3 linked regions of the Canis lupus familiaris genome follow. The protein of the gene in region 1 interacts with the protein of each later gene in a pairwise test. Links are inferred from orthologs where the notes say so. Each region holds a gene or a part of one and is shown in the gene's direction. Other genes may lie near its edges.

Region 1 (3,646 bases):
AAATTGAATAGAACATTAAGCTCCGTGAACCCAGGCAATTTTCACAGTTTTGCTTAGTGCTACATCTATCTCTAGGTCCTAGAACAGTACCTGGCACATAGTGAGAAATGGCATTGTTTTACATTTGTGCAAATCTTTTTAATCTACTATGTAGGCTAATAAAAAAAACAACTGGATTTTCATATCTGCTTCTGTTTTGGGTCTGTTTCAATGTTTTGGCTGAAGTACATCAAGAAAATCTAGTCTCATACAGATACATAGTCAAAACGGGAACATTTTAATACTCTTTTCAGATAATTGTAGATATTCTTTGTTGATACTGCATCAAAACTCTTTAAGAGGTAGTTTCTTCAAGATTAGTTGCAATGTGCAGTTTGAAGCCATATCAGTGATTTTTGTAAAGTCTGTCTCTAAAGTCCTTTGTTTTGCATGTAAAATAGATCTTTTACCTATGCAAGATTTAGTAACTCCTGCATGGTTCATTTGGAAAATACTAGTTTGCTGTTTATGCAGATCTTCCCAATGTTGACATATTTCATTATGCCATACCACAAAGTCACATTCTTTAATATTACCCAGTTTCATTGCAAAAATTTTTAAGTATTGTGAAGTCATCAAACTCCTAGTAATGGATGCAACTTTTTCTAAATTTTACTTTTCACTTGAAAGCTTGAATGTTATCATTGGTAACAAAGTCAGCTGTTTTTCTTAAGTTGACATGCTTGCTTCATTCACTTACTGAGAAAATGTCAGTGAAACAGGCAAGTCTGTATAGTTTGCCATTTGTTCATCTAAAAATATAGGGTTCTATAAAAAAAATAAGTAGCTAATTCACTTTTATCACAGTGATACTTAAAAGACAAATTATATTTCAGAAAACCCCCAAATCTGTAAATGTAAAAGAACCAAAAAGAAAATATAACAAAATATTAAGTGTACTTATCTTAGGAAGATGGGGAAATTGTGACTTTTTTCCCCTTTCATTTTTCTGTAATACAGTTTTGTTGTGTAATACAGTTTCAAGTGTTATATAAAGATAAAAGTATGGTATTTATAGTATAGCTTATAGAGTCAAATGAATATGAATTATTAGGAATAGTTATGTTCTCTATTTTCCTTATTAGGATTTAGGCCCTGAATATGAAGATATATTTAATATTTCTTTGAAGTGGATTTTAGAAAATGGAAAAGATGTTGGAATAAGGTAAAGGATTTAATTTCCACTTTGACCACTTTGTAGTATAAGAAATAATTTTGACTCTAAAGTCTCCTTAATTATTTTTAACTAGGTGTGTTGGTTATGGCCCTGAGGAGCAATTGACAAACATAACCGATGTGCAGTTCTTACAGTCCACAAGACCACAGATGTCTTTCTGGTGTCGCTTTCGACGTGCTTTTATTACTGTCACCCACAGGTTATTGTTGTTATGCTTAGGTAAGTTATTGGGATGAGAAAGAAGATACATGGCAGTCTAGAATTTTTATAGCTGTGTTTCACCAAATGGCAGGGTTGAGAATTTACTTCTGTGATAGTTGCCATTATAAATCACATACAGAAGCCTTCACTAGGGTAGAGTAATATTGAAGCTGTTTTTCTTTTTTAAATAATGTCAGTATTTATCTAAGGGCTTAGAAAACAGTGCTATAAGTGGAGGTGGAATAAAACTTTATTATAAGAATGTCATAAAAAAGACATAGATTATCTTTAGAAAATAGAACGGGAAATATGAAAATTAAGCTGATTTTTAAAATGATAAAGTATAAATTAAGTTCATTAAAATTATTATTAATTTAAAAAATATAATTTACCTGCATTAAAATTTTTACTTGGGTTCCTGGATTTTATGTGACTTTTGATTGATTATAGAAATTTAGAAGATAACGCATTTCTTTCTTTTCTCTGTTTAAGTCCTTTAAAAATAATTTTCCTAAGATGTAGTATGTTTATGGTCTTTGGAAACCCACTTTTCTAATAGTTTAATGTGGCAAAGGAAAAAGCTTGTGAAACATAGTTATGCTGTTTTCAAAAAAATAATAGAATTTAAAATGTTCAGCTGTCAGCATCATGAAAGAAATGGTTTCTAGAGAGATTAAGTGAAGCTCTGGAAAATGCTCAATACTAAATTGTTCTATGTGGTTGTAATTTATGTAGGTAATTCAGCCTACTGTTATGAAGGCTCATTCCATTATCCTATTATGGCAGTTAAAATAATCACTGTGGAAACTGTCATAAGATTTCTCTTTTTTTGCTTTGTTTTGTTAACATCAGATTTAACGACTAGACCAATAACTTCAGGTGGCAGTGAATATTATTGAATGTCACTGAGCACAATTTTTCAAACACAAAACTTATAAATATTGCAGGTGTTGTGATGGTTTGTGTCGTTCTGCGTTACATGAAATATCGCTGGACAAAAGAAGAGGAGGAAACAAGGCAGATGTATGATATGGTGGTAAAGATTATAGGTATAAGTATTTGTAAAAATCTAAACTATTTCTATAATAGTAATTATGTGATAAATTATAACATGATCAATGATTGATTCATTTGTAAATTTATCTTTTCAGATGTTTTACGAAGTCATAATGAAGCTTGCCAGGAAAATAAAGACTTACAACCTTACATGCCTATTCCACATGTGCAAGATTCCTTAATACAACCTCATGACAAGTATGTTCAAAGTATTACGAGTTGAACTAGATCAGAATGTTGGTAGTATTTCTGAAGTTGTGAAGATTATATCGGGAATTGAAGCCTTTCTCAAGTAGAGCTGTTCTGTACAGGCTTTATTTTTTGTACTTAAACTCTCCTTCCTTTTTAAATTCCCTTCTGTTCTGATTTTGAGCAGTGTAAAGACAACTGGATTTCTAAATCATGATCACTTTTATACATTTTTTATTTTTATCTTCACCTTATTTCCTTTAATTTCATCTTCATAAAGAAACAGATAATAGTGATGTTTTGTTAATAACGCCTTAAATATTTTGTTAATGAAACTTTTTCAGTAAAAGTACTAAATAATGACTTCTTGAAAATAAATGATTCTATATCCTACTGTAGCATTCTTCACCATAGCAACACCTCAGAATCATTAGTGGAGTTGGGGAGGGGGCGGATTACTGATGCTTCACCTCTGAGGAATGAAATTCAGTAAATTTGAGGTGAGCTTTAGGCATCTAAGTCTTTTTTGAAAAAATTTTGTAGGCAATGATAAGGAAAATCAGAAATAATAATAACCATTGCCTTCAATTAGTAATACATGAAAAAGATTCCAAGCCAAGATGCCAGTAAATTTGTCATTTTGTTCACATGATAGAAAAAAAATGAAGAAAGTCTGGGATAGAGCTGTTGACTTCCTTGCTGCTAATGAGTCAAGAGTTCGCACAGAGACACGAAGAATAGGTGGTGCAGATTTTCTAGTTTGGCGATGGATCCAACCTTCTGCCTCCTGTGACAAAATATTAGTAATACCTTCTAAAGTATGGCAAGGTCAAGGTATGTATTTTTAAACAACAAAAATAAACATAGTGTTTTTCCAATTTTTTTCAACTACGAAAGTCTTAATATGTTTAAAGTAAAATACTACTGTTGAAAAATACAAGGGCAAACTTCCTTTGCAGTTCTATTCCATAGAAGGAATTACTG
Region 2 (4,097 bases), on another chromosome or scaffold:
GTTCATTCATTCATTCATTCAGCAGGTGTTTAATAAGCTCCTACTGGGTGCCAGATACTGTTCTAGGCTCTGAGAGAATAGCAATGAACCGAACAGACCAAAAGTCCTGTTCTTTCAGCTAAGTAGTTAGGTAGTGATAGGGAAAGAGGATTACAAAACATGTGTGTTTGGGAGGGGTAGGTAAAAGTTTAGATAGAGTGGCCAGGCTGGGTCTTATTGAGAGGGGAACAGTTGGATGAAGACCTGAGAGGGGTGAGGGAAGGCCCACAGCCATGTGGGAAGGGCTTTCCAGGTAGGAGACAGCTACTGTGGAGGCCCTGAGATGGGATTGGACTCAGGTTGCTCCAGGACTTGTGAGGAGGCCAGGTTGACTTGAGGAAGTAAGCAAGGGAGAGAGTAGGAGATCAGGTAGGAAGGAGTTGGGAGCACAGATCAGGGAGGGCTTTGTACACATGGTGAGAACTCTTACTTGAATGAAATGGGGAGCCACGGGAAGGTTTTCTGATACAATGATATCAATACACAAGCCATATTCAAGCTTTGACAATTGTCCAAATAATGTCCTTTTTTGAAAAAAGTATCCAATTTTTTATTGCCGCCATTTAAAGAAATAACTTGCACAAAGGGTAAAATCAAATTGCATAGCATATGCAGTGTGAATAATTGTCATTTGTGGCGATCAGAACTGTACTAAGCAAGGTCATGTGTAGGTTAAAATGTAATAATTTTATAATTTTTATAAAATAAAAAGTGAGTTTTATTGTCATTGCATAGCTTCTCCCACAATCCTGGGTCCAATTAAGGATCACACACTACATTTAGTTGCTGTATCTTTTTAAAACAGCTTTATTGAAACAAAATTCACATGCCATCTAATCTACCCATTTAAAGTGCACGATTCAATGGCTTTTAATATATCCACAGAGTTGTGTAACTACCATCACAGACTAATTTTATAACATTTTTTACACGCCCCCCCCCCCAAAGAAACACGATAACCTTTGGCTATCGCTCTTCCTCGATCTCCCTATCCTCCCAAACATAGGCAACCAACATTCTACTTCCTGTCTCTACAGATGGGCCAATTCTGGGTATTTCAATATGAATCAAATATGTGGGCTTTGTATCTGGCCTCTTTCATGTGATACAATATTTTCCAGGTTCATTCATGCAGCATGTGTCAGTATCTCATTCTTGTTAATGACTGAATAATGTTCCATTGTGTATACAGCACGTTCTATTTACCAGGGAAGGGTTTTGGGCAGAGGAGTGACCTGATCTGAGTGGCATTTCACAAGGCTCAGGCCAGCTGTTGTTTCAAGGAGCAGAGAATGATGAACTGTGTCAAATGCTGCTTTTAGGGAAAATAAGATGAGGCCCAAGACTTGACCAGTAAGTGCTCAAATAGCTTAACAAAGAGATGAACTGAAATATTCTGATCTATAATTTACAAAGTGTTGTATGTCTTATGGGGCTTGTTGCATTTCTTTTGAATAATTAAACATGGAATGCAGAAATAAATTAAGAAATATGAATTTAAAATAGACTGTGGACATGTAAAGGTGCATGAACAATTGGAGAGTACCATTAACTTCCTTCGGTCTTTGATATTTTCTTTATACTGGTGGTAATGGTTCTTTGAGTTCGTGAGAAATTTATTCCTCAGAGTAATCATTCCTCTCTAAACATAACTCAACATTATGGTAATTATCCAAGATTTCATGCCAGCTTCCAGAGAGCTAGCCAAGGGAAAAATTAATTCTTACAAAAGATATGTTCGAGGTCTATGCAGATCAGGTTAGATGAGAGCCAGTCTGTTTTTATTTTAGGGGGTTGGTGTCATATAAAAGATTATAGAAATCGGATCAAAAGTTGAGTTCCATCCCAAAAAAAAAAAAAAAAAAAAAAAAAGTTGAGTTCCACTGTGGCATCTGCCATTACTTAGAACCACTACGTTACCCACTCAAGTCATCACATACTGAACTGGCCCAAAACACAAAACAGCGATACGGGTGGGTGTAAGCAGATGCAGCAGCACTAGGCTATCCAGTTCTGGGTACGTGCAACTTGTGGGGCGTGCAAAAGTGAAGGGCAATGGAAACTGGACATGAAAAGGAGAGGTCTGAAAGAGAATGGTCAGAAACGCGCCCCGCGGGTGCGGTGGTAGCGTTCGGAGGGCGCGGTGGGCGGGTGATGAGTAGTTCAGAAAATAAAGACTAAACCTCGAACTTCACGTGAGGATAACGCACCAAGCCCGCTCCGCCGGGACTCCAGGAAGCAGGGGAAAGAAGGCTGGTTTCTTTCTCCTTGGAGTCAACGGGGCGTGGGGCCGGGGGCGGGCTGGGGGAGGCGGGAGCAGGGAGGTGGCCGGCCCCGCGGCCCCGCGCTCGCGCTCAGCGGCCGGGAATTTGGAGAGGATCCCTGGTCGCGCGGCGGCGGCGGCGGCGGCGGCGCGCGGGTGCGCGTGTGAGCAGGCGGGCGGGCGGGCGAGCGAGCGAGCGTGCGGGCGGGCGGGCGAGTGCGCCGGCTGTTGGCAGCCGCCGAGTGGAGGCTGGGCGGCTCCGACTCCCTGACGCCAGCGCGACCAGATCAATCCAGGCTCCGGGAGCGGGCGGGCGGGCGGAGGAAGCGGAGGCCGAGCGGCCGAGCCCGGGCCGAGGCGCGGGGAGGCACCCTGCGAGCGCAGCGCCCCGCCGGCCGGACCGGGGCCGCGGGACCCCGCTCGTCCGGCCCCTCGTGCGCCCGCGCGGACGGGCGCGCCGCCAACCCGGTAAAACGAAACAGACCCGCACCCAACTTTCTCCTTGGCCGCGTCCCCGCCCTCCTTCGGCGCCCGGCGCTTGCTTTCCAGCGCCGCCGCCGCCTCCCGTGGGGTGAGCGCGGGGCCGGTGACGCGGGCCGCGGCGGGCAGGGGGCTCTTCCCCGCGCGGGGCGGGCCGGGCCGGGCCCCCCCCATGATGGCGCCTCCCGGCCGCGCCGAGGAGCGGACCTGCCACCGCCTCCCGCTCCCGCTCCCGCTCCCGCTCCCGCTGTGGCGCCCGGCCGGCCAGGCGGGGCTCGGCGCCGTTCTCCTCGCGTCTTTGTTGGCTCAGCCGTGGGGAAGCCGCGCTCCTCCGCCCGAGCCTCTCCCCGGCGCCGGCCGCCGCGGGACCTCCCCTCCCGCCCTCTTTCCCCCTCCGCAGCCGGGCCGAGGCCCGTGCGCGCCGCCCGCCGCCCGCCGCCCCATTGTGTCCCGCCGGCCCGGGCGACCCTTGCGGGAGCTGGGGGACGGCCGCGGGGCGCTGCCCTCCGCGCGGTGGGCGCCCGGCCGAGCGGGGCCGGCTCCAGGGGCCCCCGGTGCCCCGCGCGCCTCCGCATCCCGCACGGGGGCCTTTCCCTGCCCCAGCGAGCCTCTTGGGGGTCGAGGTCAAGGAAAGTTCGCACCGAAATTCCCTCTAATTTATTCAAAGGCTTGGCGGCGGCGCGTATTTTTTTTTTTTTTTTTTCCCCTCTCTCTTCCGCCTACACCCCGTGCGCCTCCAAGTGTCGTCTCATTCCTTTCCCTTTACCGGATTCGATTGCCTCACTGCATGTGTATTTGTGAGTTCGCTGTTGAACAACTGTTCATTTACTCCGCTCGCCGCCTTTGTTAGTGTTCCTCGGGCTCGTTGCTGGAGGAAGGTGGGGGGAGTGGGTGTGAGCGAGACCGACGTGGGCTTGTTTTTCTAGTTGCTTTATACACATGAGGGCTTAAAGGGAGAACGTTTCCTTGATGCACTTTAGGAAGGGAGGAGGAACAAACGCCTGCCGGATCCCACAACTACAGTAGCTGCGGCTTTTGTTTATTTTGAGGCTCAAACGATTGTTCCATCTACTGTGCAAGATAGCCCGCGAGGCGCTTCCCTTCTGAAAATCGAGGCACGTCTCCGAACCATCTTCTTGAGAAAGCATCGTTTTCGTGAGTGCTGTGGCAACCGGCCTTCCCTACCCCCCCCCCCCTTCCCTTCCTGTTCTCTTCTTTTCCATTGTATCCGAAGTTTCAAAGCATGTGGAATGATACAGAAGTTGCATGATGTCACTCTGTCATCCTGTTGCTGGAACTCTTAGCACCTAAATCA
Region 3 (4,410 bases), on another chromosome or scaffold:
TGCCAAGAGCCAAGAGAATTCTGTGAACTTAAAAAGATTCCATGCCAGAAGCATGAGCCAGCATTGCAGAGGTTATAATTTCTTGCTCTGCATTGTGTCCTCTACATCATCTAATGCACATACGGAAGCTGAAATAGTGACTGGCCATTTCTTTTCTCAATAACATTAAAAACAAAACAAAATCAACCTTGTGAGCCACAAGGTATTAATTCTGAGGACCTAATCAGTTTACTTGTCATAAAGTGCACATCAAGCCCTATCTGGAGCATTTAGCAGTCCAAACGTTTCCTGGTGTTTCACACCCATAGCAGTTTCAATCCTAACACCCGACCTGGAGCAGAGATAGAGGTAAATGGGTCAGGTGTAGGACTTAATTAAATTCGAGTTTAAGGTTCAAACACAAATGCCTTTTCATACAAGGTCATTGGTCAATCACAACAGTATGATAATGCAAAAATGGCATCTGCCAGGGCAAGAAAGCACAGTGCTTTCAGAAGTAGAAAAAGCAGTTAAATTGGAAGCCTTGCATTTACATTTCAGGCATCAGGGCCTTTTGGAGGTATGATTTTTCTATACATAGGAGCAAAAGGAATACTGTCCTCTTGATGCTCAATGCTATGTTTTCCGTGAAGGGCTACTGGCTGATGGGGAACATCAGTATGTTGAGGGCTTTTCCTAAATGTATTGAGTAGGTTCCCGGAGTCCACAGTGACCTCAAAGAGCAAGCTGCCTAGGGCGTAGCCAGGCCCTGAGGCAAGAAGCTGGTGCATTAACGTTGCTCAGCGTCCACAGGGTGTATCTTTATTAAGTAATATTATATATCATATGCTAGGGTGTTAAGCAAATAAATATACATAAAGAAATGAGAATCCACATAACTACATGACTAGTTTTTACCACCACTAACCACTTACAGTGATTAGGTTTTCTTCTGCCCGTGCCGGTGCAAAACCAGTTGCTTGGTGCTGCGGATGGGGGCAGTGATCCCTTTAGCGTGAAAAGCGGGTAAGGAACGCACGGCAGGTAACGGTAACCGTCGGGGCCCGGCACGTGTCAGAAAGGGTGGCTGCTGGGGGAGGGAGGTCCACCGCGATCTGCTGTTCTGTGCCTCCAGTTCTGGCAACGGCCCTCCCGGCCCCAGGCTCCAGGCGGACACAAGACATCTCGGGACTGGCGGGGCGGCGAGAGGCGGGGCGGCCGGGGCCTCCATCAGCCGCCGAGGCTAGCCCGGGGTCCCGCAGGGGCCGGGGCCGGGGCCGGGGCGGGGGGGGGGGGGCAGCGCGGGGCCGCGCCGAGCGCCGCCGCAGCAAGTTTCCGCGCACGTGGCCGCGGGGCAGGCCGCGCTCCCCCCGCCTCGCGGGCTCCCGGGGCGGCGGCGGGGCGCGCGGCGGCAGGCGGGGCGGGCCCGTGCGCAGGGCTGCTGGCCGCTTTCCAGGTCGGCGCACTAATACGGGCGATGAGGCTTCGCGGCTCCAGTCTGACTGACGCCGGCTGGGGCCGCCGCCGCCGCAGCCGCTGTCTCGGTCCCCGCCGCCGCCGCCGCCGCCGGGCCCTGCAGCCGCTGGGCGCGCGCAGCCTCGCAGTGAGTGCGCGGCGCTCGGAGCGGGCGGCTGGGGACCCACGGCGGGGGCGGGGGGCAGCCAGGCCTAGGGTGGGGGAGGGAGCAGTGGCACCGCGGGGACAGGTAAGCGATGCCCTCCCGGCCCGCTCCGGGCGAGCGCGCGCTTGTGGTGTGTGTGTGCGTGTGTGCGCGCGTGTGTGCGCGCGTGTGCGGCTGCGTCGTTCCCCGGGGAAGTCTCGAGGCCCTTCGGTGTGTGACTCGGTTCTTTGTACTCTGCATCCCCGCGGTTCTCGGTGGAGCCTGTGTGGGGCCGGGTGGGGCCGGGTGGGGCCGCAGGGGGCAGCTCGGAGCCTTGGCGGCGCGCCCGGGCCGCGGGCACCTGGGACCTGCGGCAGATGCTCGTCCCGCGGCGGGGGCGGGGGCGGGGGCGTGGGGCCGGGGCGGGGGCAGGGATGCGCGCTGGCCCCGGGCGGCCGGGCCGGGCACCGCGCGGCGGTCGAGCGCCGGGGACGGGCGCCGGGGACGGGCGCCGGGGACAGGCGCCGTGGACGCCCAGACTCGGAGCTCAGCAAGAGCGGGGGGCAGTGGAGCAACCGGAGTGGGGGCGGTGACTGTGACTCAGCCGGCCTCGCTGGCCTCCGTGTCCTGGGCTCTCTTGCTCTGCTTACCTTTGAGACACGCGAAGCGGGAAGAAAAAAAAAGTCCGGAATGTTGTTGGAGTGTCTCGGGCCGGCGCTTGGATCGTGTGGGGAGCTGCGAGGTTCCCTCCCTCCGCCCCCATTCGGTGCCCGCCGCGGGGAGAGGAGGGGGCGAGGCGGGGGACAGACGGGAGACTCCCTGACGCCAGCCTTGTGAGCGCAGGGAGGAGCGCGAGGGGAAAACACTTTCACGGGTGGCTAATCGCCGACCCTCTTCCCTTCCTATTCCTTCCTCCTCCCACCCTTGACAGTGGAAATTTCAGACGATAATTTAGAAATACTGCGTTGACTCGTTTCTGGGTTGGGAGGGGCACTCCTGAGACAGAGCCTGCAAAGAATGCAAATCTAGTTTCAGAATAAAATTGCTTGTGAATGATCTACCCGGTAGTTAACAGCGGGATGCACACGCGCAAGATGCTGTGGGCTGCTTTTAATGGATCCAGTTTACAAGTGCATTTCAGTGGTTTGCCGAATTTCTCGGATGATCTTTTGCAAGTGTGGTTTTTGCAGGAATAACTGTAAGGATACATAAGGATAACTGTAAAGTCATAAGGCATTTAATAGTGCCACCTCCTTGGCCATTACTAAGCAGAGCTTTTGGGGCATCCCTCTGAGTGAGTGAAATGTTCACGCTCCAAATCTATCTTCTGCCTCAGGAGTCCTGTCGGTGTGAGGGAATGCCATGGGATGTTTATATTTTAAAATAGCGATCTATGTTTAAAAAGGAAGTAAAAGTAAAACCCAAATACATTCTCCTAACTCCAAATTCAATAAGTGAATCTTTCTATGCTTGTAGGAAACCATGAACAAGATTTTGGACTGTTTTCAAGTTTGTGGTTTTCCAAGACGGACACTGCAGATAAGAAAATGATGTAATAGTTTATAAATAAGGGGCATTTTTAAATGTAATATGACAAAAGTTTAAAATAATAATATATCAGAAAAATAACATTTAGTGATAATAATTGCCTTCATTGATGGCAAGACAACTGTCTTTAGCAGACAGCCCTCAGCCTCTTAATCTATTCTGACACAACCAACTCCCATTTTTATGCTTGACTGGCTATCTTTGTCCCAGTTGTTTTATGCTTCAGCTCTGTGGTTTTAAGCTATGTTTAAGAGAGTGCCAACATATTCTTAATCTGAACAAACTCATTTTTATCAGTACAGTGTTTACTGAAGATCAAAGGTATAAGCAAATTTTAGGTTAAACGCCTAAGAACTTTATGATTCTCACATCTTTGTGAGATATCATCATCAGTGTCTTAACGTCAGCATGAACTATATGACTTTTCTCCCTCTAAAATATTTTTCTCTTATTTCTATATCTTCAGTTAATGGCTAATCAGAGAATGTTCACAGATGTCAACTACTACATCCCTGATTGCTCAAGACATGGTATGAGAAAGAAGAGCTTTGTTGTTGTTGTTGTTTTTAACGAAACCTTGCCAAGGATATCTATCAGTAATAAACAGCAGGCAAATTTGTTTATCCTTTCTGTCCATGTGGCCAGTTGAAGGAGAAAAGAAATCTGTCGAGAAATTATTTCATAAAGATTGAAATATTCGTTTTAGGTGTTGTGGATAGTTTAATTCCGATTAATGAGAGTTCAGTTTCCTTTGCCAGATTGGGAGAGCTGATGTTTCAGGAGTGGTCACTATGGCACTTAGGCAACTAACTAGTTTATATCTCACATTCCTTTTGCAATAAATAAAACAGCAATTTCATCATATTCGCCTTTAGTAAGTCAGAAATAGTACTTACCCGCAGACTGTACTTTGCTTTAAGGGAAAGTAAAGGTTATGGAAAATTAAGATCTTTTTTTTTTTTTAATTTGCAAAACATACTAATTACATTTTAAACCTGAGTGCAGATTTTGTTTATTGCTTCTAACATTTGGAGGGGAATTCAGAAACAGAGAAGCTTCCAGAATAAAAGAATAAATATAGCAGTACATTGAAAGCATGAATCTCTTCAAATAGTTGTAATTCTAGGCTGTTGGATTTATATTTCCTTGGTTACTGTTGCTAGTGAGTTGAAAAGTTATTCTAAAGCAAAAAAAAAAAAAAAAGCAAACGGTAAATTCATAAGTAGTTCTAATAGTTTGAGCATGCTTTATAGAGATTTTTTTCTGTTAAGCTGGTGAAGGTC

What was found.
Region 2: the proteins of LEMD3 (region 1) and SMAD1 interact in binary tests that used the Homo sapiens proteins (3 or more experiments, as listed by UniProt). The link is inferred for Canis lupus familiaris from reciprocal best matches to the Homo sapiens genes LEMD3 and SMAD1.
Region 3: the proteins of LEMD3 (region 1) and SMAD9 interact in binary tests that used the Homo sapiens proteins (3 or more experiments, as listed by UniProt). The link is inferred for Canis lupus familiaris from reciprocal best matches to the Homo sapiens genes LEMD3 and SMAD9.

What each region holds. Positions count from the first base shown.
Region 1 is NC_049231.1:8,180,446-8,184,091, forward strand, and holds part of LEMD3 (inner nuclear membrane protein Man1), read left to right. Parts: intron 1-1,124; coding exon 1,125-1,204; intron 1,205-1,289; coding exon 1,290-1,435; intron 1,436-2,364; coding exon 2,365-2,466; intron 2,467-2,568; coding exon 2,569-2,671; intron 2,672-3,317; coding exon 3,318-3,496; intron 3,497-3,646.
Region 2 is NC_049236.1:44,385,260-44,389,356, forward strand, and holds the start of SMAD1 (mothers against decapentaplegic homolog 1), read left to right. Parts: upstream 1-1,286; 5' UTR 1,287-1,392; intron 1,393-3,629; exon of another isoform or gene 3,630-3,937; intron 3,938-4,097. UniProt on the Homo sapiens protein: Transcriptional modulator that plays a role in various cellular processes, including embryonic development, cell differentiation, and tissue homeostasis.
Region 3 is NC_049246.1:3,831,862-3,836,271, forward strand, and holds the start of SMAD9 (mothers against decapentaplegic homolog 9), read left to right. Parts: upstream 1-1,525; 5' UTR 1,526-1,582; intron 1,583-1,623; exon of another isoform or gene 1,624-1,684; intron 1,685-1,765; exon of another isoform or gene 1,766-1,810; intron 1,811-3,587; exon of another isoform or gene 3,588-3,657; intron 3,658-4,410. UniProt on the Homo sapiens protein: Transcriptional modulator activated by BMP (bone morphogenetic proteins) type 1 receptor kinase. SMAD9 is a receptor-regulated SMAD (R-SMAD).